Ovis aries: one gene and its partners. The protein of the gene in region 1 interacts with the protein of each later gene in a pairwise test. Links are inferred from orthologs where the notes say so. Each region holds a gene or a part of one and is shown in the gene's direction. Other genes may lie near its edges. The genes, in order: PITX1, ZBTB32, IPO13, SPAG8, MAGED1, DVL3 and MGAT5B.

What was found.
Region 2: the proteins of PITX1 (region 1) and ZBTB32 interact in a two-hybrid assay, tested with the Homo sapiens proteins (2 studies listed by BioGRID). The link is inferred for Ovis aries from reciprocal best matches to the Homo sapiens genes PITX1 and ZBTB32.
Region 3: the proteins of PITX1 (region 1) and IPO13 interact in binary tests that used the Homo sapiens proteins (3 or more experiments, as listed by UniProt). The link is inferred for Ovis aries from reciprocal best matches to the Homo sapiens genes PITX1 and IPO13.
Region 4: the proteins of PITX1 (region 1) and SPAG8 interact in binary tests that used the Homo sapiens proteins (3 or more experiments, as listed by UniProt). The link is inferred for Ovis aries from reciprocal best matches to the Homo sapiens genes PITX1 and SPAG8.
Region 5: the proteins of PITX1 (region 1) and MAGED1 interact in binary tests that used the Homo sapiens proteins (3 or more experiments, as listed by UniProt). The link is inferred for Ovis aries from reciprocal best matches to the Homo sapiens genes PITX1 and MAGED1.
Region 6: the proteins of PITX1 (region 1) and DVL3 interact in binary tests that used the Homo sapiens proteins (3 or more experiments, as listed by UniProt). The two-hybrid records come from large-scale screens. The link is inferred for Ovis aries from reciprocal best matches to the Homo sapiens genes PITX1 and DVL3.
Region 7: the proteins of PITX1 (region 1) and MGAT5B interact in a two-hybrid assay, tested with the Homo sapiens proteins (2 studies listed by BioGRID). The link is inferred for Ovis aries from reciprocal best matches to the Homo sapiens genes PITX1 and MGAT5B.

The regions. Positions count from the first base shown.
Region 1 is NC_056058.1:44,096,455-44,099,954, reverse strand, and holds part of PITX1 (pituitary homeobox 1), read left to right. Parts: intron 1-3,215; 5' UTR 3,216-3,283; coding exon 3,284-3,452; intron 3,453-3,500. UniProt on the Homo sapiens protein: Sequence-specific transcription factor that binds gene promoters and activates their transcription. May play a role in the development of anterior structures, and in particular, the brain and facies and in specifying the identity or structure of hindlimb.
Region 2 is NC_056067.1:45,734,591-45,738,691, forward strand, and holds the start of ZBTB32 (zinc finger and BTB domain-containing protein 32), read left to right. Parts: upstream 1-1,301; 5' UTR 1,302-1,306; coding exon 1,307-1,335; intron 1,336-2,435; coding exon 2,436-3,419; intron 3,420-3,676; coding exon 3,677-4,101. UniProt on the Homo sapiens protein: DNA-binding protein that binds to the to a 5'-TGTACAGTGT-3' core sequence. May function as a transcriptional transactivator and transcriptional repressor. Probably exerts its repressor effect by preventing GATA3 from binding to DNA.
Region 3 is NC_056054.1:18,605,408-18,608,503, forward strand, and holds the end of IPO13 (importin-13), read left to right. Parts: exon of another isoform or gene 1-1,397; intron 1,398-1,407; coding exon 1,408-1,474; intron 1,475-1,562; coding exon 1,563-1,621; intron 1,622-1,771; coding exon 1,772-1,861; intron 1,862-2,151; coding exon 2,152-2,333; intron 2,334-2,427; coding exon 2,428-2,524; 3' UTR 2,525-2,596; downstream 2,597-3,096. UniProt on the Homo sapiens protein: Functions in nuclear protein import as nuclear transport receptor. Serves as receptor for nuclear localization signals (NLS) in cargo substrates.
Region 4 is NC_056055.1:52,733,887-52,738,101, forward strand, and holds SPAG8 (sperm-associated antigen 8), read left to right. Parts: upstream 1-1,415; 5' UTR 1,416-1,452; coding exon 1,453-1,490; intron 1,491-1,593; coding exon 1,594-2,461; intron 2,462-2,563; coding exon 2,564-2,738; intron 2,739-2,922; coding exon 2,923-2,968; intron 2,969-3,052; coding exon 3,053-3,167; intron 3,168-3,206; coding exon of another isoform or gene 3,207-3,305; coding exon 3,306-3,368; intron 3,369-3,476; coding exon 3,477-3,653; 3' UTR 3,654-3,789; downstream 3,790-4,215. Other genes in the region: adenosine 5'-monophosphoramidase HINT2, read left to right, coding at 76-180, 285-357, 479-570; NPR2 (atrial natriuretic peptide receptor 2), read right to left, coding at 4,160-4,215. UniProt on the Homo sapiens protein: Microtubule inner protein (MIP) part of the dynein-decorated doublet microtubules (DMTs) in cilia axoneme, which is required for motile cilia beating.
Region 5 is NC_056080.1:53,606,162-53,608,416, reverse strand, and holds the end of MAGED1 (melanoma-associated antigen D1), read left to right. Parts: coding exon 1-35; intron 36-592; coding exon 593-707; intron 708-950; coding exon 951-1,328; 3' UTR 1,329-1,336; intron 1,337-1,544; 3' UTR 1,545-1,755; downstream 1,756-2,255. UniProt on the Homo sapiens protein: Involved in the apoptotic response after nerve growth factor (NGF) binding in neuronal cells. Inhibits cell cycle progression, and facilitates NGFR-mediated apoptosis. May act as a regulator of the function of DLX family members.
Region 6 is NC_056054.1:203,768,112-203,771,347, reverse strand, and holds the end of DVL3 (segment polarity protein dishevelled homolog DVL-3), read left to right. Parts: coding exon 1-217; coding exon of another isoform or gene 218-243; exon of another isoform or gene 244-1,058; coding exon 1,059-1,090; 3' UTR 1,091-2,736; downstream 2,737-3,236. UniProt on the Homo sapiens protein: Involved in the signal transduction pathway mediated by multiple Wnt genes.
Region 7 is NC_056064.1:54,259,288-54,262,787, reverse strand, and holds part of MGAT5B (alpha-1,6-mannosylglycoprotein 6-beta-N-acetylglucosaminyltransferase B), read left to right. Parts: intron 1-1,735; coding exon 1,736-1,866; intron 1,867-3,500. UniProt on the Homo sapiens protein: Glycosyltransferase that acts on alpha-linked mannose of N-glycans and O-mannosyl glycans.

The DNA.
Region 1 (3,500 bases):
GTCACACAGCAAGAGCCAAGGGAACATTGAGTCCCTGCTCTTATTCCTGAAAGAGAGCTGCCTCCTGTCTCATGTGTGTGTGTGTTGCATCTGTGAGTGTGTGCAAGAAGCCCCTATTCTGCCCAGGATAGCGGCCAGGGGAGAGAGCACCCCAGGTCCCTTCTCCAGCCAGCACCCGAGATCAGGCCAGGGCCTCCTCTGGATCAGTTCCTCACCCCTACTCCTTCAGCGCTGACTCTAGTGGAGAAAACACCCCTGGGCAACCCCCACTAGTCTCAGCCCCTCCCTAGGGCTCAGGGCCCCGGGATATGGAGCTTCACCCGCAATAGTCTGAGGACCTTTCAGTCCACACAGCAGGCATCAAGATTTCCAAATATAGGGATTGTGACTACTTGGAGCACTGCCAGAGGCTTGGATCTGGAGGGGCACACAGCAGGTGCTCAATAACTGCATTAAATGCATCAACAGTGAGGGACACAAGTCCCTCAGACTGAGTAGCTAGAGCTGCAGAGTCGCAAAACAGTCCCCATCCGCGGAACGCCTGACTCTTTAGACCCTCTGGGGAATGTGAGTTGTGATGGCCAGCCTCTGGACGCCCAAAGGCAGACCATTCATTTCACGACCCCTCCCAGAGGAACACTGTGCTTCCCACCTTGGCCTGACACTTGGTGGGCTTAGAACACACCCCTCTCAGCCAGATTTCGCGCCAGACAGCATCAGTGTTCTGGAGCTCAGAGGCCTGGTTGTGTGTACATGTATGTGACTGTATTCAGCACTCCCCTGTGTGGGCGCAGTGAGTATGTGTGTGTATGTGTGCACAGCACACCTGTACAGGTATGCAGTACATATAAGTATTTGCATGCTTCTGTGATCCTGGCACGCTGGGTGGCTCACTGTCCCTTCGAAGTAAGGCAGCTACCAGGAAGGTGGCATGCGGAGGGGCACTCACTGGCATGGCATAACACCTAAATACATCCTTGAAAGGAGGTATTGCTCCTTTAGGAGATTCAACTGGAAACTGTGGTCAAAGATGGGGCTGAGGCCAAATGCTCAGCAACCACTGTTCCCTGTCTCCAGGTACCCCTCCCCATCCCCTACACACCAAGTATGCTTTCTCCCTGGGGGTCTCAGCCTACAGGAAATTCCCTTCGGAGAAGTTAGAGCCACTCCCCCAGCCCAAACTCCTGGATGCATTCTGCTGTGGCCCCAGCCTCCGAGTTTGCCCCCTGTGGTCACAGGCACCCAGGGAGAGTGGGCTTGCCCTAGAACTGTGCTTGCTCCCCAGGACCCAGAGCTGGGGGCCTTGGACTGGGGCCAAGGGAGTGAGAGGCAGGCCTGGTTCTACCCTGCCCACGCCCCTGCCCCCACAATCCTCACCAAAGAGCTCAGCCTGGGGTGGAGGCAGGTGACTGCCAGGGTGATAGGGAGCCAGGTGAGGAAAGGGACTCCTAAGGGTCCCAGAGCCTGACAGCCTGCACAGTCAGCCCCAGGCAGAGATCCCAGGAGAACATTAGGATGCCCTGGGCCCAAGCGTGAGGCACTGGGCCTGGAGATGACCACAGTACTTCTCCGGGCCTCACACCCCACCCCCACCACCATCCTGCCCAGTGCTGCTTCTGTCTGGTGGAGCACACAGAAGAGGGGCAAAGGGCACCCTGGGGTCCACCTGTGGCTAGAGGAACAGGTCAGGGCTGCACCCTACCATCCCAGCGGTCACCTATTTGCTCAAGACTCTGACATCTCAGGACCAGTTAACAATTGTTAAGCAAAATCCTTCAACAAACTTCAGTGAAGTAGGAGGATTCAAGGAGGGACTCATTCTAAGGGATGGGAAGGGGAATGTGTTTGTGCTCATGGAGTGCCCACTGGTGCTGTAGCTTAGCTACCGTTGTAGCTAAGAGAAGCTCCAAGACTGTCCTAGGCTTCCTGGCCTGTTTGGAAACTGCAGTCACCTGGCCTGTCGGGCCTGTGCCTGCCACACTTGAGAAGCCAAAGTGAGGCCCTGCGAACCTGCTGGGAAGGGGGCAGAGAGAGGCCCACCCTGTGGTGGCCAAGGCCGGGACCTGGCGGATTTGGCCAGACCGTTGAAGGTGCAAAACAAGGGGAGAGAAGAGGCTGTGGGGGCCTGGCAGGGCTCTTGGGGTCTCCTGCTGCACTCGACAGCGGCCTGGAGCCAACAGAAACGTTTCGTCTGATTAGAAGCCATCGGTTCTATCCCAATCCCGGAAAATTGACTGCGGTGCAGAGGGGGTAGGCCTGAGAAGCAGCCTTGGGGGAGAGGGTCCAAGCTAATTAGGAGGCAGCATCCGGGGGCCCATTAGAGCGCAGGCTGCTGTCACTCAGCCTGGCTCGGGTCCCGGGAGAAGATCCCGGGGAAGGAGGGGCCGCGGCCCCTCGACGAGGACGCCGCTGGGAGCTGCCGGAACGAGCCCCGGGCTCTGCCCCCGCCCTGGCGCTGACTCGCAGGCTCCCGGTCGGTTGGATCCTGCTCGGTGAACGTTCACTCATCCCGGGCTGTTCTCGCCAGAGGCTCGGAACTTCGAGGCGGCCCAGACAGGAGTTGATTTCTGAGCGAAACAAGTCATTTGGGGCTTGAGGTGGGCACGAGCCGCGCGGGGCTTGCAAGCCAGATGCGTTTCTTTTGTGCGGCCGAGGGAGAACTCAGTGTGCCACCGGGGAAGGAGGGTGAGGCGCGGCGAGGCCGCGGGAGGGGGGAGGCGGCGGGAAGGTGGCTGCGGAGGGGGAGGGCGCGGGCGAGGCAGGCAGAGAGGGAGGGAGGGCGGCAGAGAGGGCGCGGCGGCGCGGGCGGCTCGGGGCTGGATTCCGCCCGCGCTCCCTCGCTCTCTCGCTCGCTCCCTCCCTCCCAGCCCCCTCCCCCGCGGGCCCACCCCACCCACCACCCCTGGCGCAGGGACTGCTGGAACCTGGCGGTGCGCGCTGTCGCTTTAAGACAGACTCTGCCGGCGCCGTCCGGAGCCTTAGAAACCGGCCCCGGATCGGGAGCCGGAGCCGGGGCCGGGCGGGCGGCTGAGGCCCGAGCGGCAGGAGCGCAGCGCGGAGCGCGAAGCCGGGCCCCCGGGTCGCGAGAAACCGCTGCCGCTGCCGCCCGCCTGGCCCCGCAGCCCCGGGCGGCCCATGGGGCGAGCGCGGCGTCGTTGCGGGCGCGGGCAGCCCTGGGGGGCAGCCGCTTAGGGGCTGCGCTCTTGTCCTCGCAGGTCGCCGCCGGGGCGGCCGGGCGCGCCCAGCCCCGGCCCCCGGAGCGCCCGCCTCGGTCCCCGCCTCCATGGACGCCTTCAAGGGGGGCATGAGCCTGGAGCGGCTGCCAGAGGGACTGCGGCCGCCACCGCCGCAGCCGCACGACATGGGGCCCGCCTTCCACCTAGCCCGCACGGCCGACCCCCGCGAGCCTCTCGAAAACTCCGCCAGCGAGTCGTCCGACACGGAGCTACCAGGTAAGAGCGGCTCCCCGCGAGGCGCGCGCGGAACCACCCGGGCGAGCA
Region 2 (4,101 bases), on another chromosome or scaffold:
GCACACCCTGTCTGATCTAGGAAGGGATAACATCTGCTTGGACCCAAGCTAGAATGAGAGGTAGAATGAAGGTATGTTAGGTCTCAACAGAGAGTAGAAGGGTGGTCTGAACATTTGGGGGTCCTGAAGCCAAAAGGCGAAACAGGAGTTTGAGAGACATAATATTTGAGTCTAGGAGGGAATCAGACTCTAGCATCTAGTAGAGAAGCCTTGGGGAAAGCAGACTGGGTCTTGTCATCAGAACAGCCTACCAGTGCCTGACTTGTTACTCTTCTAGTTATTTATTAGGCATATGTCAAGCACATATCGTAAGCTATCTAGCAATACCTGTTCTATGCATGAAAAATCTGCAAGAAATAATAAACAAAAAGAAATGTGAGTCTCTCAGACCTCATCTTTTCCCCAGGTTAAGGAGTGCTAAACTGTGAAAAGAGGGCAAATCTCCGAGGACCTTCATCCCCTGGGCAGGAAGTCAAAGAAACCCCGCAAGTCCTGATTTCAGAGAAATGTCATTTGTCACCAGCCCAAGAAAAGTTTTTCTCTTTGGAGACCACCGCAGGCCCTTCCTGGGGTTGCCCCCTTCAAAGCGTGATGGGAGGATCTGAGTCACTCACATACCCTGTCCCCAGCGATGGCCCAGATGGCCTGGGTCATTCCCACAGAGGAGTGGAAGGTTCCCAGTACCAAGTCAGAGAGAGGGAGGAGGAGGCATGCTTTTGGCCCTCTTTCGCTCTCTTCTTAGAATCCAGATGTTTCAGTCCTTTTTACTTTTGAGGTAGTATAAAGAGCTTCCAGCTGCTAGAGCTCTACTGACACCTCTAAGAAACAGAACTAATACTATTTGAATGATGCTACGTACTGAGAAACCACTTTCACATACATCATGTCATTTCATCTTCACCCCACCTCATAATGAGGTAGGCAGAGCTTATCCCTATTTCACAGATGAAGTAACTGAGGCTCAAAGAGGTGACTTGCCCAAGGTGACTCAACTAGCAGATGGCAGAGATGAGAGTCAAATGCAGGTCTGATTATCCCAAAGTTCTTATTGCTTCAGATATAATTCTTTGACTCCAGAAATTCACAGATGAAATAAGACCAGAGGTCAGGAGGCAGAATGCTTGAGTTCTGGAAGGAGAGGAGTGGTCTCTCCTGGAGGGGTGAAGCTCAGCCAGGGGTGTAAGACCACACCCCTTGGGGGACTGTGGCAGACTGATACTTGGGACACCCAATGGAAGACTGTGAAGTCAGGGGCGGGGCTAGCTCCAGAGTAGGGGGGCCAGGAGCCCCAGCAGCAGTTCAGAGCATGCGGTGTCCAGGAGGAAGCTACAACCGGTGAGTGGTTGCTTCTCCCCAACTGAGACTTTCCTCCCATTACATTCCTCTTTCTGTCCACTTCCTGCCAGCCTGTACCCCTCCCTGTGAGGTGTCCAAGTAGTAATTCCTCCCTCTACGGGATCTGTACTCAGGGTGAGCCTACACTTAGGAATATGCCTGCTGGGCTCTGGGACACTTAGGTCTGTCTCTTTGTATCTGGGTTCCCAGTTCTCTTCTTAAAAGCCAAGGTGGTGGTTTTGATGTGTGACAAACTTCTGCCTTGTTGGGTTCTGTCTTTCTAATCTTCACTTTTGGCTTATGAAAAACAAAATTGAACTGTCTCCTTATCCTTATCTTGAGAGGAAACAGCCTCTCCCTCCACAGTTTCCATTTCCCTTTCGCCTGCTTCCTCCAAGGTCAAAGCCTTTTCCGACATCTCTCCATCCCTGGGTGAGGAGCCTTCTCTCCTGTGGGTTCCAACCTGCTCTCTTTATCTCACTGCATGGGAGCTTTTGGTCACTTCCAGTTCTTTCTCTGAGGATGGTTTCTAGAAGTTTCATCCTGAGGGAGATGATCAGTTGATGCCTTGAGCCTGCTTTCTGCAGCTATGACCCCATCTTGCTGCCCTTTTTTCCTCTCAGGACCCTCAGCCCCACATGACAGGCTTGCAGGAGGAGGACACACTGGCTTTCTAAACTCCCATGAAACTGTGTCTAGCTCCACCCCTAACTTACAGGGCTGACTGGGTTTTGTGGTGATCCTGTCTGGAATGAGAGCTGGGGCCTGTTCGGGGGTCTTTCCCTGCAGAGGAGCTTGGAGAAGCAGAAATATCAGTGTCTGCTCTCCTTTAAGTCAGACATTGCCAACTCTGCTCTCCCTTAAGTCAGACATTGCCAACTGGCAGGACCCATCTATCCACTACTTGAGATAGCTCTTCAATGTGCAATCCTTGTTCTTTTAAGTCCTGAATTTGGTCTAATTTCCATTCTCTCACCACCTCCACACCTGCTATGATTCTGAACAGCCTCGGGTTTTCTCTTGGGTCATTTTTTCTGCTCCATTCAGGACAGAGAACTGATTCAAATCCAGCAACTCACTTTCTTCCCTCACCTCCACAGGCTTGAGTATGCGGTTCCTCCCTCCCCTTTTCACCACGGACCCTACACTGTGGCCTTTCTCTCAGAACCTCTGAGATTGGTACCAAGGCAAGGCACAATGCCCCTGTCCCCAACAAGACTGCCTAGTCCCTATGCTTCTGATCGGCTGGTACGGTTAGCAGCCAGGCTCCGGCCAGCACTATGTGATACCCTGATCACAGTGGGGAGCCAGGAGTTCCCTGCCCACAGCCTGGTCCTGGCAGGTGTGAGCCAGCAACTGGGTCGCAGGGGCCACTGGGCTGTGGTGAAAGGCATCAGCCCTTCCACCTTTGCCCAACTTCTGCACTTTGTTTACGGGGAGAGTCTAGAGCTGCATCCTGGGGAACTGGGGCCCCTTGAGGAGGCAGCCAGAACACTGGGGGTGCAGTCCCTGGAGGAGGCATGCATTAGGGCTCGAAGGGACATGGCTAGAGAAGAGCTGGGTCCAGGGCTGAAGAACCAACAGGAGGAGCTAGAGAAACACACAAGGGACTCGATGAGAGGCGTGGGGGCCTTTGGGGAGAAGCAGAGACCAGAGAAGTTTGTTAGAACTGGTGGGAAAGAGCAGGAGACGTTGCACAGGCCGCGGCCGCCAAGAGAGAGCCCTGACATGGCAGAGGCAACTCTGGAGGGTCGAGGGGAGCAGATGAAACCAAAGGAGCAACTCCACCAAGCCCTTGTTGGCCATGGCAGAGTCAGTGGGAAGCAAGAAGTAATCATGTGGTTGAGGGACAGTGCAAAGGGCTCTGAGGAAAGTCTGCGGGAGTTCCCTGGCCCCCTTCCCCCAGCAGGTTCCTTCCAAACTGGCACCACCCCCAGCCCTTGGTGGGCTGAGGCCCCTTGGTTGGGGGAGGGCCAGCCTGCCCTGTGGAGCATCCTTCTGTTGCCACCTAGATATGGCACTCCCTTCTCCCATAGCATCCCTATGACTGGAGCCTGGCAAGAGGTCTGGCCTCGGGACCAGAGGTGAGTCGAAGGGCTTATGGAAGACCTCTGGCTGGGAGGGAGTGGTTCAGGAGAGGCAGCAGTGATGGGTGGAAGGGTACCACATCTCTTATCTCTACTATACATTTCCTGAGTTGTGGTAGGACAAGAAGTTGTCACCACAGGGCAAGCCAAAGCCCAGGCCCCACAGAGGACTTATGACTCCTCCCTCCCCAGAAAGGGATCTGCAGGATCCCAGGTGTAACCAAGGCTGTAACTCTTCCCCATCCCACCCCCAGGATCCCACTGCCCCTAAACCTCCATAAAGGCCTTTGGAGCCAGAACCAGCTGGCCTCCTCCAGCCCCACCCCAGGTAAGCCCCTCACTGCCTGGCATGCACCCTGTAACGTGGTCTCGAGGCTGGGACTGAGGCCAGGGCTCCAGGAGTCCAGCTTGAGCAGGGCGCCTGCTTCACTCTGTTCCCTCCAGGTTCCCTCCCCCAGGGCCCCACACAGCTCAGCCCTGGGGAGCCGGAAGAGTCTGATCACAGGCACACAGGTGAGTAGAGTGAGGGTGCTTTTGCCTCAGCGCCACTATGGCCCCAGCCTGAGTGTTCCAGTGACCCGGCTCTGGGAATCCCAGCCCTGCCCTCCTTTGCCTTTTGTTCCCACAGGTAAACTAGCAACCTGTGTGAGTCAGGTCGGCACCGCAAGCCGTCCATCTC
Region 3 (3,096 bases), on another chromosome or scaffold:
GTGCATGTAATGGAGGGTAGGAGTATACATGGTAGTGGTGTGTCTGTATGAGGGTTGTATGTTTGGGAAGTTACATGTGTCGGGCTGTGGGAATGTGGGGTTAGTATGTGTGTCAGGGAGATCCTGTGAGTTGGGGGCTCCTATGGGTTGGGGTCTGTGATGTGTTTCTTTGTTTAATCACTCCACAAATATTTTTTGAGTGTGTTAAACGTGCTTGATCATGTGGTAGGTGCTGAGAATATAATGGTGAGCAAAAGCAGACACGGTTCTTGCCCTCTTGGCACTTACAGCCTAGTAGAGGGGTATAGGAGTGGGAATGGACAGTGTGCTCTGGGCCTGGGTGGACATGTGTGTGAGGGTGTATCTTTGGGCGAGGACATTTGAGCGTGGGTGTGCATGGGGAGAGTGTGCGTGCTAGAGAACTGGGGAGGGTGAGGGCCTGGGTGTGTGCATATGGTTTGGGGATACAGGGTTGGGCTTGGGATGAATGTGTAGCGAGGGTGTGTTGCAAATGGGGAGAGTGGTGTATACAAGGGATGTGATTGAGGTGTGATAGAGGGTAAGTAGGGCGTTTTAAGTGAGGGGCCTGTGGGGCTGTTTGCGCTTGAGTGAAAATGAGGGAGTGGAAGGTATATGAAGGCTGGAGGGTTGGGGGTTGATGTGGAATGCATTGGGGGGCTGCTGGGGGACAGCAGTGCTTGATGACTGTGGGAGCTGTGTAGAGCATCTCCTATGACCCGAGGATGTGCCATTCGCGCCTTGGTACCACTTGGGGTGAGCTCTCAGCCCCTATACTCCATCCACTTCCCCTGACATGGCAGCCCTGGCTCCTGGGCTGGGTATGAATGAGAAGGGCCCGGACACAGGCTGTCCTGGGCGAGGTGGGGCCGCGGCTCCCGGGCTCCTGCCCTGCCTTTCCTCTTCCTAAGCTGGAGAGTGTCTGAGGAATGCAGGCAGGACATAAGAGGGGGGCTGTGAACTGGGCTCCCTGTCCAGCTGCCATCTCTGCCCTGATAACAATCAAGGGGGCCTCAACTGCCTCTGTGAATCAAAGTGAAGTCACTGCTGGCAACCTGGAGCCTGCAGGAGGTCTGGCCCTGTGGTGGGGGGTGGGGTGGGGTGATGTGTGTGCTCGGGGGTGACTGGGGCCCAGGCTGTGGCATTATGACTCCCAACCTCTCTCATGCACATGTGCGTTCATGTACACATACACGTACATGGCATCCCTTGGCTGCTCCCCTCCTGACACACTGAACTCTGGAGTGGTCTCGTTCCCGAGATGGCTGGGTGGCTGGTTTTGGCAGCCTTCACTTGTGGTGTGTGAGGTTGGGGCCTGCGTGGCAGGTGAGTGGGAGGATGATTCTTAGAGTCGACTAGGGCTGGGCTTACCAGCTCCACCTCCTACAGGCTCTGAAGCGGAAGCCAGATTTGTTCCTATGTGAACGACTCGATGTCAAAGCTGTGTTCCAATGTGGTAAGTGGGGTGCCAGGTGGACAGGTGGGCCTGGGGCCCCCTCGGGAGCATCCCTGAGCCCCACCTGATCTGCCTCTGCCTCTCTCAGCTGTGCTGGCGCTCAAGTTCCCCGAAGCACCTACTGTCAAGGCCTCCTGTGGCTTCTTTGTGAGTCCCGTGCTGACCCCCAAACCCTGCACCGTCCTTACACCCCACCCACCCGGCCCAGGACTCTGTGGGGTAGGGGTGTGGTGTGCAGGCCTTGTCTCCAGGGAGATGGGGGAGAGGGGGGCTGACGGGCCTCTCCATCCTCTGTAGACAGAGCTGCTGCCTCGGTGTGGGGAAGTAGAGCCTGTGGGAAAGGTGGTGCAGGAAGATGGCCGCATACTGCTCGTAGCAGTGCTGGAGGTGAGACGGAGCGGGTGGGGCAGCCGGGTTTGGGGATGGGGCGGCCCTCACTGCTGAGGCAGCTGTCCTCCTGGCAAGCTTGCATCTCGGTTCCCTAAGCTCTGTTTCTTCATCAAGTAAATGGCTGGAAGTTGTTAGGTCGCTGTGAGGATCAGCTATCGTGTGTCAAGTAACGCTCACTCATCATGTGCACTGTGGCTGAGGAACTGCCCGGGAGTGGGTGGTGTGGCTAGGCTCTCTTGCTGCAGACGGGGCAAGGCCCTGGTGTGCTGAGAACCCATCTCCCTCAGGCCATTGGGGGCCAGGCCTCCCGCAGCCTCATGGACTGCTTTGCCGACATCCTGTTTGCTCTGAACAAACACTGCTTCAGCCTCCTGAGCGTGTGGATCAAGGAGGCGCTTCAGGCACCTGGCTTTCCCTCTGCCCGACTCAGCCCCGAACAGAAGGACACCTTCAGCCAACAGATCCTTCGGTGAGCAGAGCTGGCAGGGCCCGGGCTCGGGTCACGGGGAGGCGGAGGCCGTGGTGGGTGGTGGTGATAACTTGCTCTCCCTTCTCTCCTTCAGCGAGCGAGTAAACAAGAGGCGGGTGAAGGAGATGGTGAAGGAATTCACACTGCTGTGCCGGGGGCTACATGGCACAGATTACACAGCTGACTACTGAGGGGCGCCCCGTCCCACCCACACCTCCTCACCCCTCCTTATCCCCAAAGAGTAAACTTGAACCCTCACGGCACTGCTGTCTCTGCTTCCTTTCCACTGCCACCACCACCTGACTGGGTGACCTCAGATGACCTGGGGGAAGGATGGGAGGATGCTTGGACCCAGGCCTTGGTAGGGCATGATGGAGCCAACCTCCATCTAAAACCTCCAGCTTTTAGAGTGAAAGGAGCTTTACTACAGCCAAGCTGCCTAGACTGGAGCCATCCAAATACTGCCCTTGCCCTTGGGGTAGGTGGTGACTGCCGAGTGTCAGCATCCTGCCCCTAAATTAAATTAGTCCCAGTGTTTATGCATGCATACACTTATATAACCAATGGTGCTGAATACTAGGCCACTAATCATGCCGTGCCTTTTTCTGTCTGAACAAAGGCTGATGTAGTCCATAGCAACCATAATTCTCACTAAACTGGGAGAATGGAACCAGTGAGGAAGGCTTCCTGGAGGAAGTTTCATTTCTGAGGGCAGTGGGAGGTTTCCTAGGTAAAGGACTTGGGGCCTTGGGCTAGAAGTGAG
Region 4 (4,215 bases), on another chromosome or scaffold:
CCCCCTAAGAATTTCATAAATACCATCCAGCCGGTTGAAGTAACATGGTGGCCTCTGGCCTGTCACTGCTCCCAGTGTCTCGTATTCCGGGATGTGGCCCCTCAGGCTCCTGTGCACTTTCTGGTCATTCCTAAGAAGCCCATTCCTCGGATCAGCCAGGCTGAAGAGGAAGACCAACAGGTGGGAAGGACAGGGCCAGGGTTTGGCTGGGGGAGCCCTGTATTCCTCTAGAAATTTTGCTGCCTGTAAGTGAAGCAACCTATCTCCCTCCCCTTTCCCTGTAGCTTCTTGGACACCTTCTCCTTGTGGCCAAGAAAACAGCAAAGGCTGAGGGGCTGGGTGATGGATACCGACTTGGTGAGTGATGTTTGGCCCCTGAGCCCTTCCCTCGACTGTGAATTCTCACACCTGCCCCTCTGTGTGACCATTCTTTGACCTTCCCATAATCCTCACCCCCTAACCCAAAACTCCATTTCAGTGATCAACGATGGCAAGCTGGGTGCACAGTCTGTGTATCACCTACACATTCACGTACTTGGGGGCCGACAGCTCCAGTGGCCTCCAGGTTGAACTTACCAAATGACCAAGGACCCCTGACTTGGATGTTTGGATGGGATGGGGGAAAACGGCACCCTGTGAAGCTAATAAACTCGCTCTCCCTCAATTCTGGATCCTTGTCTTAACTATATGAAGATTTATACTACAAATAGGAAAGAAAACTGATTCAAGACTATGATCCCCCTTGACTATGGTCTGAGACACTTAAGGAAGCCCATTCTGTAAAGGAGTATTTAAATACCTATATATCTCTGAGCTCAAGACTGGTGGTCTACCTGGGGCAGGCTTCTAGAAAAGTAGGAATTCGCCTGAATGAATAGGAAGAGACTGAATCCCAAGACTTGCCAAGCCACATTCTAAGCAGGGTCTGTAAGGAGGACTGTCAGTGTGAGGGCCTTTTACTGGAAGAGAAATAATCAAACCCCAAAAAATTGGCCACCCTTTGGCTAATCCCCAATTCTCACCATTTTGCTTTTGAGCTACTTGTCTGATGCCTCTTCATCCTTAAAAGCTTTGAAAAAATGTTCCTCCATAAATACACGAAATAGGCCTTTGACTGATACCTCAGCCCTGTGCCTGTTCTAAAACACAAAGAACCACCTTCAGTTCAGTTCAGTTCAGTTCAGTTCAGTCGCTCAGTCGGCCTCTTTGCGACCCCATGAATCGCAGCACGCCTGGTTAGTTATGGAGGCCAGCGGAACTTTAAGAGCCGGGCTGACGCGGAAGGGAATCCGGACGGAAGGCAGCCATTGCAAACCACAGCGGGTTTAAGACTTCCGCCCCGCAGAGAACTTGTCAGCACCCTCACCCTCCACGTCCGCCTAGCTCTAGTTCTGCGCAGTCTCCTGGCAAGGTTTGCCGTCTCTATGGCAACCCAGTAGCTGGCGTCGGAAGATGGAGACCTCTGAGTCTACTGACAGATCGCAGTCGCGGTGAGAGCCACAGCTCTGGCTGCGGGCGGAAGGGGACAAGGAAGTTTACAGACTTTGCTGTGCTGACAGCTTTGCCGCTTTCACTTTTTTTTTTTTCCCCCAGATCTTTAGACTTACAGCCCAGCTCGGACAGACTAGGGTCCAGTTCCGATCCCTTTTCTTCTTGGGATGGCCGTCATAGATCGGCCCTGGTAGCTGCAACCGCAGCAGCTTCAGCAGCTGCTTCAGCCGCCTCCACTGCCAGAGCAGCTGCATTATCGACAAAGAGCCCAGCCCCCTACTCTCATGGGAGCCTGTTCACGGAGCCCTCCTCTGACAGTCTGACAGAGCGCTACATTGGACCCGGATTTACCCACAAGATAAGCCACGGGAGACTCGGCTTTCAGCCTGTCAATGTTTCCCATGTTGCTCGGAATTCCTATACTACAAATGACCTTAGCTCTAGTCGTGGCCCTGTTCCTGGCTCCAGTTCTGGCCCTGTTCCTGGCTCCAGTTCTGGCCCTGTTCCTGGCTCCAGCTCTAGCCCTGGTCCTGACTCCAGCTCTGACCCTGGACCTAGCTCCAGTTCTGGTCCTGGTGGTAGCCCTGGCGGTGGCTCAGGTGGAGATCCTGGCCATGGCCCTGGTCCTGGTAGTGGCTCTGGTCAGGGTCCTGCCGGTGGCTCTGGTCAAGGCACTGATCTTGGTCCTGCTGTTGATTCTAGGCATAGCCCAGGCCATGGCCATGGCCCTAGGTTCAACTTCTCTGCTCCTGTAGGCTTCAGAAACCCCAGGGGAGATCTTATCCCTAATTATACTGGCTGCAAACACCACTGTCACTGGGAGCCGCAGAAACAATCCTGGAAATTTTTGAAAGTCTCAGAACCTGGTGCCCGAGGGCTGTGGAAGCCCCCCGACATTGAAGGGAAGAGTACGGTTCTCAGTGAAACACTGCCACGGGGCCAGTGCCTTCTCTACAACTGGGAGGAGGAGGTATTAAGGTTTGACCTGCTCCCTTTTCTTGAAGGCTGCCCTCGGTTGATGGGGGTGGGTTACAAGGAAGGATATCATTGTCACTCAACTTGGGGCCTACAGAGAGCCACCAACTACCTGGATCAAGTCCCAGTCATGCAGGATGGCTCTGAGAGTTTCTTTTTCCGACACGGACACCGGGGACTGCTGACCCTGCAGCCACAGTCACCCATGTCCTCCTGCACCACCCAGAAAGACTCCTACCAGCCCCCAACAAGCCACTGTCAGCCAATTCGAGGTATGAAACATGAGAGAATGGGCAAGAATGAGTCCAGTAGAGAAAAGAATATCAGGTGGGCCTATGGTTGTCTGAGGGGTGTAAGGACAAAACCCAATTTTTCCTCCTTTCCCCAACTTTGTTTCTTCTGGGCCTGTTTCTTAAGCAGCCTCCTCTATTCTGTCCATTCCCTGACCTCCCCCAGGGAAGCGTGAAGCCATACTGGAGATGCTCTTGCGCCAACAGATCTGGTGAGAGGCTGGGTGAAGGGAAATGGGGAGGGGGAGGACAAAAGTCAGGGGAGAATGCCCTTGACCCTCCCCAGGCCTCTGTAGTAAAGAGGTGCAGGCAGAGCAGGAACCCACAAGGAAGGACTTTGAGTTCGAGTCTGTGACACACCACGACTACAAAAAGGAGCTGGTGCAGGCAGGGCCTCCCGCCCCAACAAAGGTAAGAACGCAGTCACCCCCACCCCTCACCCTTGTACAGCTGGGTTCTGACAGGCTGTGGGAAAGCAGCCAGCCCAGAGGCTGAAGAGCTGAAGAGTCAACTCTTCAGGCCAAGAGTTACGCAGTATTTCCCTCACAGCTCCATGACTACCGTACAGAGCAGCCTGAAACCTTCTGGCTAGAGAGGGCACCTCAGCTACCGGTGTGTGAGAGTGACCGGCTGTTGGGAGTGGGTGAAAGGAGGGGAGGAGGCTGTTCTGTCCTGGGTTGGGGCAGAGCAGGCCCCATCCTCATTCTGGCATTCCTCCAGGGTGTCAGTCACATCAGGACACTAGACACACCATTCCGGAAGAACTGCAGTTTCTCAACACCTGCGCCTTTGTCTCTAGGGGAGCCGTTGCCCTTTGAACCTGAGAGTTATTCCCAACAAGGAAAAATATCTTCCCTTGCCTGTCAGGGAGGGGCGCAGGGTGGTGGAGGGTGTTGAACTACTCCTGTCTAAGGGCTGAGGAGGCAAGTAGATGTGGAATATGGAATCTCCTCTCTGTACTGGAGAGGTGGGGAGGAAGTGAATTTGGTCTGTACTTGGTGACAGGGTTTTACATAAAAAGTGTTCTCTCTCATCCTGAGACTGCTGATTCAGTGATTCTGTGAGTTACTGTGTCCATACCCCAGAACCTTGAAGCCGCCCCTTACACAGACTATGTCACCCATAACTGTTTTTGTTTGTTTGTTTTATATTTGGCCAAAATATTCTGGTTTAGATACAGATATTTACAGAAGGTAGGGAGGAAGGGGACCAGGCCAGAGAGGGACAGGTATATGTACAAGACTGAGCTGCAAAGGGTAAGTTTCCATATAAGGTGGGGGTTTTATGAATGTTGGTTTCCATCTCATGTGACAATGTCCACTTCTGATGTGTGGAGAGATGATGGCTACTGCCCACCCAGGTACCAGCAGCAGAGGATTGTCTGGCTTGAGAAGAAGTAGGGTTTATAGGAGCCCAGCAGGTCCTTTCCGCTCTCCTAGGAGCCAGTAAGTTCGCATCT
Region 5 (2,255 bases), on another chromosome or scaffold:
AGGAAGCTTCTCACTTATGAATTTGTAAAACAAAAGTAAGCGATGCCTAAGTGGCTTGTCTTGTCCTCATGAATTCTGTGTGCTGGTCAGCCTCAGAAAGCCCTTCCCATGCTGCTCATTTCTTATATTAACTATACCTATGCATATGCATACATATATACTCAGGAATATTTACTGAGTATATTCCTTGTGGCTGAATTTTCCTGCAGTATAGTTATCTTGCAAGTGAAGCTTGTCCACCACACCCACAGTAGATATTCCTAAGGCTGGGTTAGCAGAGGCTTTGCAATGGGCCTATCTGTGGTTCAGTAACAAGATTGTAACAACCCGGAGTCAGAACTGTGGCAGAGGGGGTGAAAAAGTGTTGTCCTTTCTATGACTCTACATAAGTCATCCTCTAGTCCTAGGTGACTAGTGTAGAAACACAGGAATTTGAAGGCCTAATTATTAGAGGGTAAATAATCTGTGTTTAGGAATGAGACTGGAGGGAGTTGCTACCTGAAATCTGAGGTGTCAGAATCTCGGATTATTTTGCATTGATGGACTCTCATTTTGGCTGAGTAGAAACAAAGGCCTTTCTCCTCTTTCTAAGGTACCTAGACTACAGACGAGTACCCAACAGCAACCCTCCTGAATATGAGTTCCTCTGGGGCCTCCGATCCTACCATGAGACTAGCAAGATGAAAGTGCTACGATTCATTGCAGAGGTAATAGAGGAACAGCTCTAGACTTGATAGGTTAAGGGATGAAGTATGACTGGCTGGGAGAAGTCCAGAGCAGGAATGAGATCTTTCTTAGGTATTGCACATGGTAGGTGCCACATTGTTGGTGGTATTTTTTGTTGTTACTGTGTAAACAGTAGCACAAAGTAGGGTGCTAAGTATATAGTGGGTGCTTCATAAATATTAACTAATACTATCATGGGCTTTATTTTCTACTCCTCATCTCAGGTTCAGAAGAGAGACCCTCGTGACTGGACTGCACAGTTCATGGAGGCCGCAGATGAGGCCTTGGATGCTTTGGATGCTGCTGCAGCCGAGGCTGAGGCACGGGCTGAGGCGAGAACCCGCATGGGGATTGGAGATGAGGCCGTATCTGGGCCCTGGAGCTGGGATGACATTGAGTTTGAGCTGCTGACGTGGGATGAGGAAGGAGATTTTGGAGATCCCTGGTCCAGAATCCCATTTACCTTCTGGGCCAGATACCACCAGAATGCTCGCTCCAGATTTCCTCAGACCTTTGCCGGCCCCATTATTGGCCCTGGTGGTACAGCCAGTGCCAACTTTGCTGCCAACTTTGGTGCCATCGGTTTCTTCTGGGTTGAGTGAGATTTTGGGTAGGTATATCACTTTGGATTGGGCACTTAGGGTCACTGGGAGTTACAGAGTCCATGTGAATGTATTTATGTGCTCTAGCTGGGAGTTCTAGGAAACCCATGGTGATGAGATGAAGGAAGTATGGGGAAGCAGTATTTGTTATTTATATTCCTTACTACTTGGTATATGCATTGATTTTTTAATTTTTTTTCTTCTTTATGTTCACAGATATTGCTAATACGTTGCAATTGTCTTTCCCCTGAGTGAGGATGAAGCCTCAGAATCCTTCTAAACGCAGCTATCTAGAGAGCCACATCCTGTTGACTGAAAGTGGCATGCAGGAAAAATTTATTTGCTGTTCCTTGTCTATTGCTTACCCCCTCCCTTGTGTGCTGTCAAGTTTTGGTATCAGAAATAAACATTGAAACTGCAAAGTAAATTAGATGTGTTCTCTGTTTTTTCTGGGTTTAATGAGAAATCACCATGTTTATATGGGAGAGATGGGGCCTCAGTACTAGCCTGAAGGGCAGATCAGCTTTCTAGCTAATGGATATGGAAACAAAAGAGTGATTGATGAACGTGAATGTTAAAAGAGGTCTAAAAATAGATATGGTATTAAATATCACTTAAGTGAATCATGTGATAGATATGCTGCTAGGTGTTTTGGAGTGACATTGAAAGATGAAATGAGAGAGGGTGTAGGTGGTCAGACAGTTGCATTTAAGAAGACAGGAGGTAGAACTCCAGGTAATAATAATAAAGTTGAGAGAGTGGGTGGTTGAAGGGAAGGGAATGTAGCTGTTCCTGGAGATAATGTTCTGGGGACTCAAGGGTGTTGGTTATATTATCCATGTGGAAAGTGAAATAACTTTGATGGGGGCAAGAATAGGAGCAGAGAACATGATGAACCAGGTGCCAGAGTTTCCTGTGTGAGAAGAA
Region 6 (3,236 bases), on another chromosome or scaffold:
CACCACTCGCTGGCCAGCAGCCTGCGCAGCCATCACACGCACCCAAGCTACGGCCCCCCTGGGGTGCCCCCTCTCTACGGGCCCCCCATGTTGATGATGCCCCCACCGCCCGCGGCCATGGGGCCCCCGGGAGCCCCTCCGGGCCGCGACCTGGCCTCCGTGCCCCCCGAACTGACCGCCAGCAGACAGTCCTTCCGCATGGCCATGGGAAACCCCAGTGAGTTCTTTGTGGATGTGATGTGAGCAGGGCCCCTCCCCCACTACCATCCTACCCCGCCCCAGGCTGGCTGCGTTCCTCTCTCCGTCCGTCTTTTTTATTTTGTCTGGTACCTGAAAGGGAAATAAATGGAACTAAATCCAGGCGCGCTAACTGCTCGCTGGGTGCAGCGAGGGTGGGGTGCACCCACTGATCGGCAATGCAGCCCTTAACCTGCCACCGGCCCCAGCTTGTCCCTCTGCCCACTAACTGCTGTGCAGGACTTCCCAGGATCATTCATGTCCCTGGGACCCAAATGGCTAGTGCTGCTCCTTACCCTCCCCCAACCCCGTACACACATATTTCAAGAATTGACCCCAGAAGTGCCCTTGAAGACCTGCATACCCGTCATCCCTGCCTCCCCTCTCCCAGTTCCTTTTCTCCATTCATTTAGCGGCATCATCCCTCTATTAATCTTGCATGCATGATTCTTGACTTTTTCCCTTAATACTGACACCAAAAAAGACTTGCTTCATCTGCCCCTCCTCCTAACTGTCCCCACCTACTGCCTCAGCCCTGCACCCTAGAGCTGCAGTCCCCTCCAATAACCATGCATACTAACCCTGCCTGCACGCAACCTTAGCAGAAGCCCAGAGGGCCCCCTCAGTTGCTTGAGCTGCTAGCAGATCCCAGGGAACATCTCTGCTCTGCACCCAAACCTACACCCACCCCATGCCTGCCCCATGTGCTGACTCCTTCAGACCCCTAACCCTGCTAATCAGCAGGCTCATCTCACCTCTGGGCTGAAACATTTCTTTTCTTTTCTTTTTTCCTCTCCCAATTTTTCCTGGGCCTGGAGCAGCCAAGAATTTCGGGCTGTTTGACTTTCTGTGAGTCCCCAGCGAGAGGAGGCCCAGCCTCTGAGGAGACCAGGAACCTTGCTTCAGCAGCCCCTCAGGGCTTTCCAAGGATATTTAGCCCCCATACCCACACTTCAACAAACATGTCAAGTCACTAGACTTCTGAGAATCACCCCAGCCTCTCACCCACCTACGAGAGCCTCTGTTCCCCTTTCCCCAGAGAGTTCTCTGCTCTCTCATTCCCTCTCTCCCTTTTTCTCCCTCTCTGTCTGTCTGTCTGTCTGTCTCTCTTTCTTTCTCTCTCACACACACACACGTGCCTATGCAAGTTCACTTAAGCCTCAGGGCTGGTCCCTGACCAGAGGGCTGGACCCTCTCTCCCAGTCCTCTCCCAGGTTGTGGGGCTGGTCCCCTGACTTTTCTCTCTTCATAGCCCTCACACCTCCCACACATGTGCCCATCATCTTCCTATCTGAATAAAGCCCATAAGCTGGACTCAGCACAAGATACCCCAGGCAACTAACAGTGTTTTCACAGTCATCATGATAACTCAGAGCAAGGTTGGGCAGGAGGACTTCTGGGATTTCAGATAGAGTACCAGGTTTTGTGGGGTGATTTTTTTTCCTTAACCATATTCTCCCATTTAAACAAATCACAGCTTTCTCTATGAGCCTCTTCTATAAATTCTGGCTCACCTAGGCTTCCATATTTTTAGACCTGGGGTATCAAGAGTAAGATGAAGTCCTAAGCTCCCAAGTTTTGGTGTAAACCAGGGTAGGGGTATTTTGGCATTCATTCATTTAACACATATTCCTGGGATCGGGGGTGGGGGGGTGGTGCCTAAGGGCTGTGTTAGAAGTGTAACTCAGTCTTGTCTTCCTTCTGGGAGCTCTAGGTTTGCTCCCAGCCCAGATCATGGTTGCCTCTAGCCACTACTATGGGGCTGCCTCCTGTACTTCTCTTCCTCCTCTGGTTTCGCCATCTCTGACTCTCTTGAGGATTCTTCCACTATTGCTCATGCCTTAAGGGTCCCTGTATTCCATCATTGGTCCACTTCTCTTTCCTCTCTATTTACTTCCAAAATAGAATCATCCATCCTGATGTCAATTGCCATTGATATGCTGGTGATTCCCCAATATATATCTCCATCCCTAACTGCCCTTTATCTTTAGATCGGTATTTTTATCACCTGCTGGATATCTCCTTGGACATGTCCAGATAGGCTCAACTTTTTCCCTCCATACCGCCAAGTATGTTCCTCCTGAATTCCAATCCTGGTTACATTCATCACTCTTAATAGGCTCACCAGCTAGAAACATTTATGGGCTTAAATTCCTTCCCATATTTTACTAGTCAGTATATCATATCCATTCCACTCCAAGTTTTCTTGAATTTGGTCCTTCCTCTCCCCTCTGCCTCTACTCTAGTTCACAGGAGCTTGGGATTTGGAGTCAGGTTATTCTGGGTTTGAATCCCAACTCTACTACTTTTTGGTTGTGTGATAAGAGAGTTATTTAATCTCTCTGAGCCTCAGTTTTCTCATATGTAAAATGATAATAATACCTACCTCACAGGGTTGTTGTGAGGATTTAAATTAGATATTGTACGAAAAGTGCCTAGCACAGTGCCTGGCACACAGTAGAATAGGTGCTCAATAAATGGTAGCTATTATTATTACTACTACTACTATTATTATTATCATTATTATTTACTCTAAATTGGTAGGGGGGTACGGTAAATATTGAGACTTCCCTGGTGGTTCAGACAGTAAAGCATCTGCCTACAATGCAGGAGACCCAGGTTCAATCCCTGGGTTGGGAAGATCTCCTGGAGAAGGAAATGGCAACCCACTCCAGTATTCTTGCCTGGAAAATCCCATGGACGGAGGAGACTGTTAGGCTACAGTCTATGAGGTCGCAAAGAGTCAGACACGACTGAGTGACTTCACTTTCTTTCACTTTCTTTAGGGTAGGTGTTGAGGACAAAGCTCCTAGAAAGGTAGGAGTAAGCCTTGAGTGCTGGTTCAAGAATTAGACGAGCCTGTATTCAGTCGCTTCATGGCTTAAGACTGTGACCCTGATCTGTAGGAGGTCAGATTTTCATCCTGCCATATTCTGGTTTCTATCAGGAGAATTCTAGGAATAGTAGGATTTGCAACTAGGTTTGCCCTTTCTTGCCCT
Region 7 (3,500 bases), on another chromosome or scaffold:
TACAGTCCATGGGGATTCTCCAGCCAAGAATACTGGAGAGAGCTGCCATACCATCCCCCAGGGGATCTTCCCCAACCCAGGGATTGAACCCAGGTCTCCCACATTGTAGGTGGATTCTTTACCATCTGAGCCACCAGGGAAGCCCAAGAATATTGGAGTGGGTAGCCTATCCTTTCTCCGGGGGATCTTCCCGACCCAGGGATCAAACCAGGGTCTCCTGCATTGCAAGTGGATTCTTTACCAGCTGAGCCACCAGGGAAGGCCAGAGGGGAGATAATTTTTTTTGCAGCCAGCAAAGACTTGTCCTTACAATGGTCAGATTTTCACATTCTAGAGTCCATGAGCTTTCTGGATAGAAAACCACCGCCTCTTCTAAGATGCACCAGATATTAAGAATTTTGTGGGTATTGAGGGGGTTGGGTAGACATACTATGTCAAATCTACACATTTGATTAAAGTATACATCCCAGGACTCCCCTGGGAGTCCAGCGGTTAAGACTCCGTGCTTCCACCGCAAGGTGCGCGGCTTCGATCCCTGGTGGAGGAACCAAGATCACACAGGCCGGGTGGCACGGCCAAAAGGGAAAAAAAAAAAGTATATCTCAGTTACAGAAATGCTAAGATGTGAAAAACGTGCATCTGAAATGAAGAAAGGGGGTGTTTGGCCTCAGGGTTGTTCTGGGAAATCAAGGCCATATGGCTGCTGCCAACCTATTTCCCACATGCAACCTCTCCCACAGGGAAGGTAGAGTAGATGTAATTGGGTACCATAGGCATTCTGCTCGAGGTCCTTTGCATGGAAAGGAGAGACCATGGTCCTTGCAGATGGATGGCACCTGTGCCCACTCCTTTAGCCAGCCGCAGCTGCTAAGTCGCTTCAGTCATGTCCGACTCTGTGCGACCCCATAGACAGTAGCCCACCAGGCTCCCCCATCCCTGGGACTGGAGGCAAGAGTACTGGAGTGGGGTGCCATAGCCTTCTCCAGCCGGCCGCGGCAGACAGAGCTAATCAGTGATATGCCTGGAGCCTGGCCGAGGAACTGGAGACGCAGCTGAAGGGCACATCCTGACCCTGGTGCTCTGGGTTCTGGGAAGCGAGTCAGGGTGCGAATCCGCATTTTGCCGGAGACCTAAGCACGCCAGACAGGCCCTTAAAGGGAGGGCACTCAGACCCCAGAGAAGGCTCTTGGGAGGAGAGGAGTGCGAGTGGGGCCCTGGAGCGGAATACTCTCATCATGGAAAAGGGCGGTGGGCGCTTAAGCGAAGCGCAGGGGCAGAAGCTTGCAGGTGTGAACGCGAAGATGGGTCCGCGCATGCGTGAACCAGCCGGGCCAGGTGCTCCCAGGGGCCGGGGACACAGACAGCTCCGGCCCTCTTAGATTCTGACAGTAACACACGAACAAATCAGTATGCACTGTCGTGTCTGATCAGTGAGTTCTGGGGCAAAAGATAAGGCAGGGAAAGGAGACGGAGAGGGGCTGGGGTCAGGAAAGACCTCTTAGCAGGGCCCTGTGAGCACAGACCTGCGTGGAGAGAGAGTGGGGAGGCGGTGAGAGATGCCGCGGAAGGGGGCCGGGGCCCTGATGGATGGATGCTCTCCCCACCGCCCAACCCAAACCGCACCCCTTACCTCCTGCCCCCTTCCACTTCCCTGCCAAACGGGTGTCCCCTCCAATGGGGCCAGTCCCGGGTAGACCAGAGCATGCCCCTTCCTGACCTCGTGATCTGGCTGCAGCTCACACCCCGGACAACTCCTTCATGGGCTTCGTGTCCGAGGAGCTCAATGAGACAGAAAAGCAGCTCATCAAAGATGGCAAGGCCAGCAACATGGCGGTGGTGTACGGCAAGGAGGCGAGTATCTGGAAGGTGAGACCCGCCGGCCCCCAGATCCCATCACCAACCCTCAGCCCCCAGGAACTTCCCACCCCCCAGCCCTGGACAGTGGAAACGGCCCCCACTAATGGTCAAAAAAGAACTGCCGTTGGAAACACCGGCCTGGGACTCCTGCCTCACTCCCCTTCCTGCCCCCACTCTTTGCAACAAATTCAAACGTCTTCATCCCCCACCCTCGCTCGGGTAGATACACAAACACTCTAACCCACCAAAGGGGTTTAGGCTACATGTGGGGATTCTGGGGGGTGGGAGGCAGGGGAGAAATAAGAGAGGACCAGGGATTGGAACCCCAGCTTCAAGACAAAGCCCCTCCGAGAAGCACCGTCTGTGTGGGACGTTACCGCTCACCTGGCCGCTGACCTGTTCTCTCTCTTTTCTCTCTGCCCCCCTGGCAACGAAGCAGCTCCAGGTATGGTGACTGCTGCATGTTCCTTCCACCTCCTGCCGCTCCCTGCTCTCCACAGGGTCTCCCCTGCGGATGCTCTCAAGTTGGGCTTTCTGGGCTTGGTAGCACCTGTGGATGGACCAGACCAAGGGAGGAGGGTGATGGGGACATCGGGGTCTCAGGTGGGCTCTTTCTGGGGCCTGGAGGTCAGGGTCCAGCTCGGTGTGGAACAGAGCAGCTCCTAGGAGGGACAGTTGACCTAAGACAGGTGACATGAGGTTAAAGGTTAATAATAAAGATGCCCATCGTGGGGACCATCGGGCAGCCCCCATACCCCGTGTCAAGCTGTCACATGACCATCTTGGTTAAAGATTCTCACGCTGTATGGATTAGGTCCAGCTGTCAAAGAAAAGCCCTGACTAACCTTGACTGAGACAAGAGGGAAGTGTGTCCTCCTTCCTGTTGACAAGCCCTGGAGCTGTCAGTGTTGGGTTGACCCCTGGGGCTCTTCTCCCCTGGTTGACTCGCTGCGTTTAGTTCCCATCTGCAGTCTTGCTTCGTGGTTTAAGGTGACCACGGAGTGCAGTTATTACATCTGCCCTTCAGCGGGTGGTGCGGGGTCGGGGGCTTTGGAGGAGGAGGAGGAGGAAGGCCAGGTTTGGCATATCTCCTGAAGGTTACACACAGCTCTGCACCATATGGCCCCGTGGCTAGGTCTCAGTCCCGTGGCCACAGCCAGAGTTAGGGGACATTGGAAGTAGGTGTGTTCTAGCCATGTGTGCCCAGCTTAGCCCTGGAGTTCTGTGACTGAGTAAGGGGGAGAATTAAGGGACATCTCATGATCTATGCCAAGACAACCCTCTAAGGTTGCAGCCATGGTTAATACTCATCCAGCCAGAGCTTACTGTTGCCAGGTACTCACATATATTTTCTCATCTGACCATCAACTGTGAGGTTAGTGTGACCAACTAGTTAAGTGGGCAGGGCTGGGATTAGAACCCACATCTAACTCTAGGGCCAGGACTCTTAATATCCTCCTTGGTTATGACACCTTGGATGGTGGCAGAGAGAAGCTCTGGAGGCTGGACTAAGGCTCCAAGCCCTGGCTGAGACATCAGTGCCCACCATGGAGTGTGGGGACAGAACCAAGGGGCCATTTTCATATGATGCCAGACAAGCTGGCGGCCAGGATGCCTGGGGCGCTGGGTAAGGGAGTGAGCAC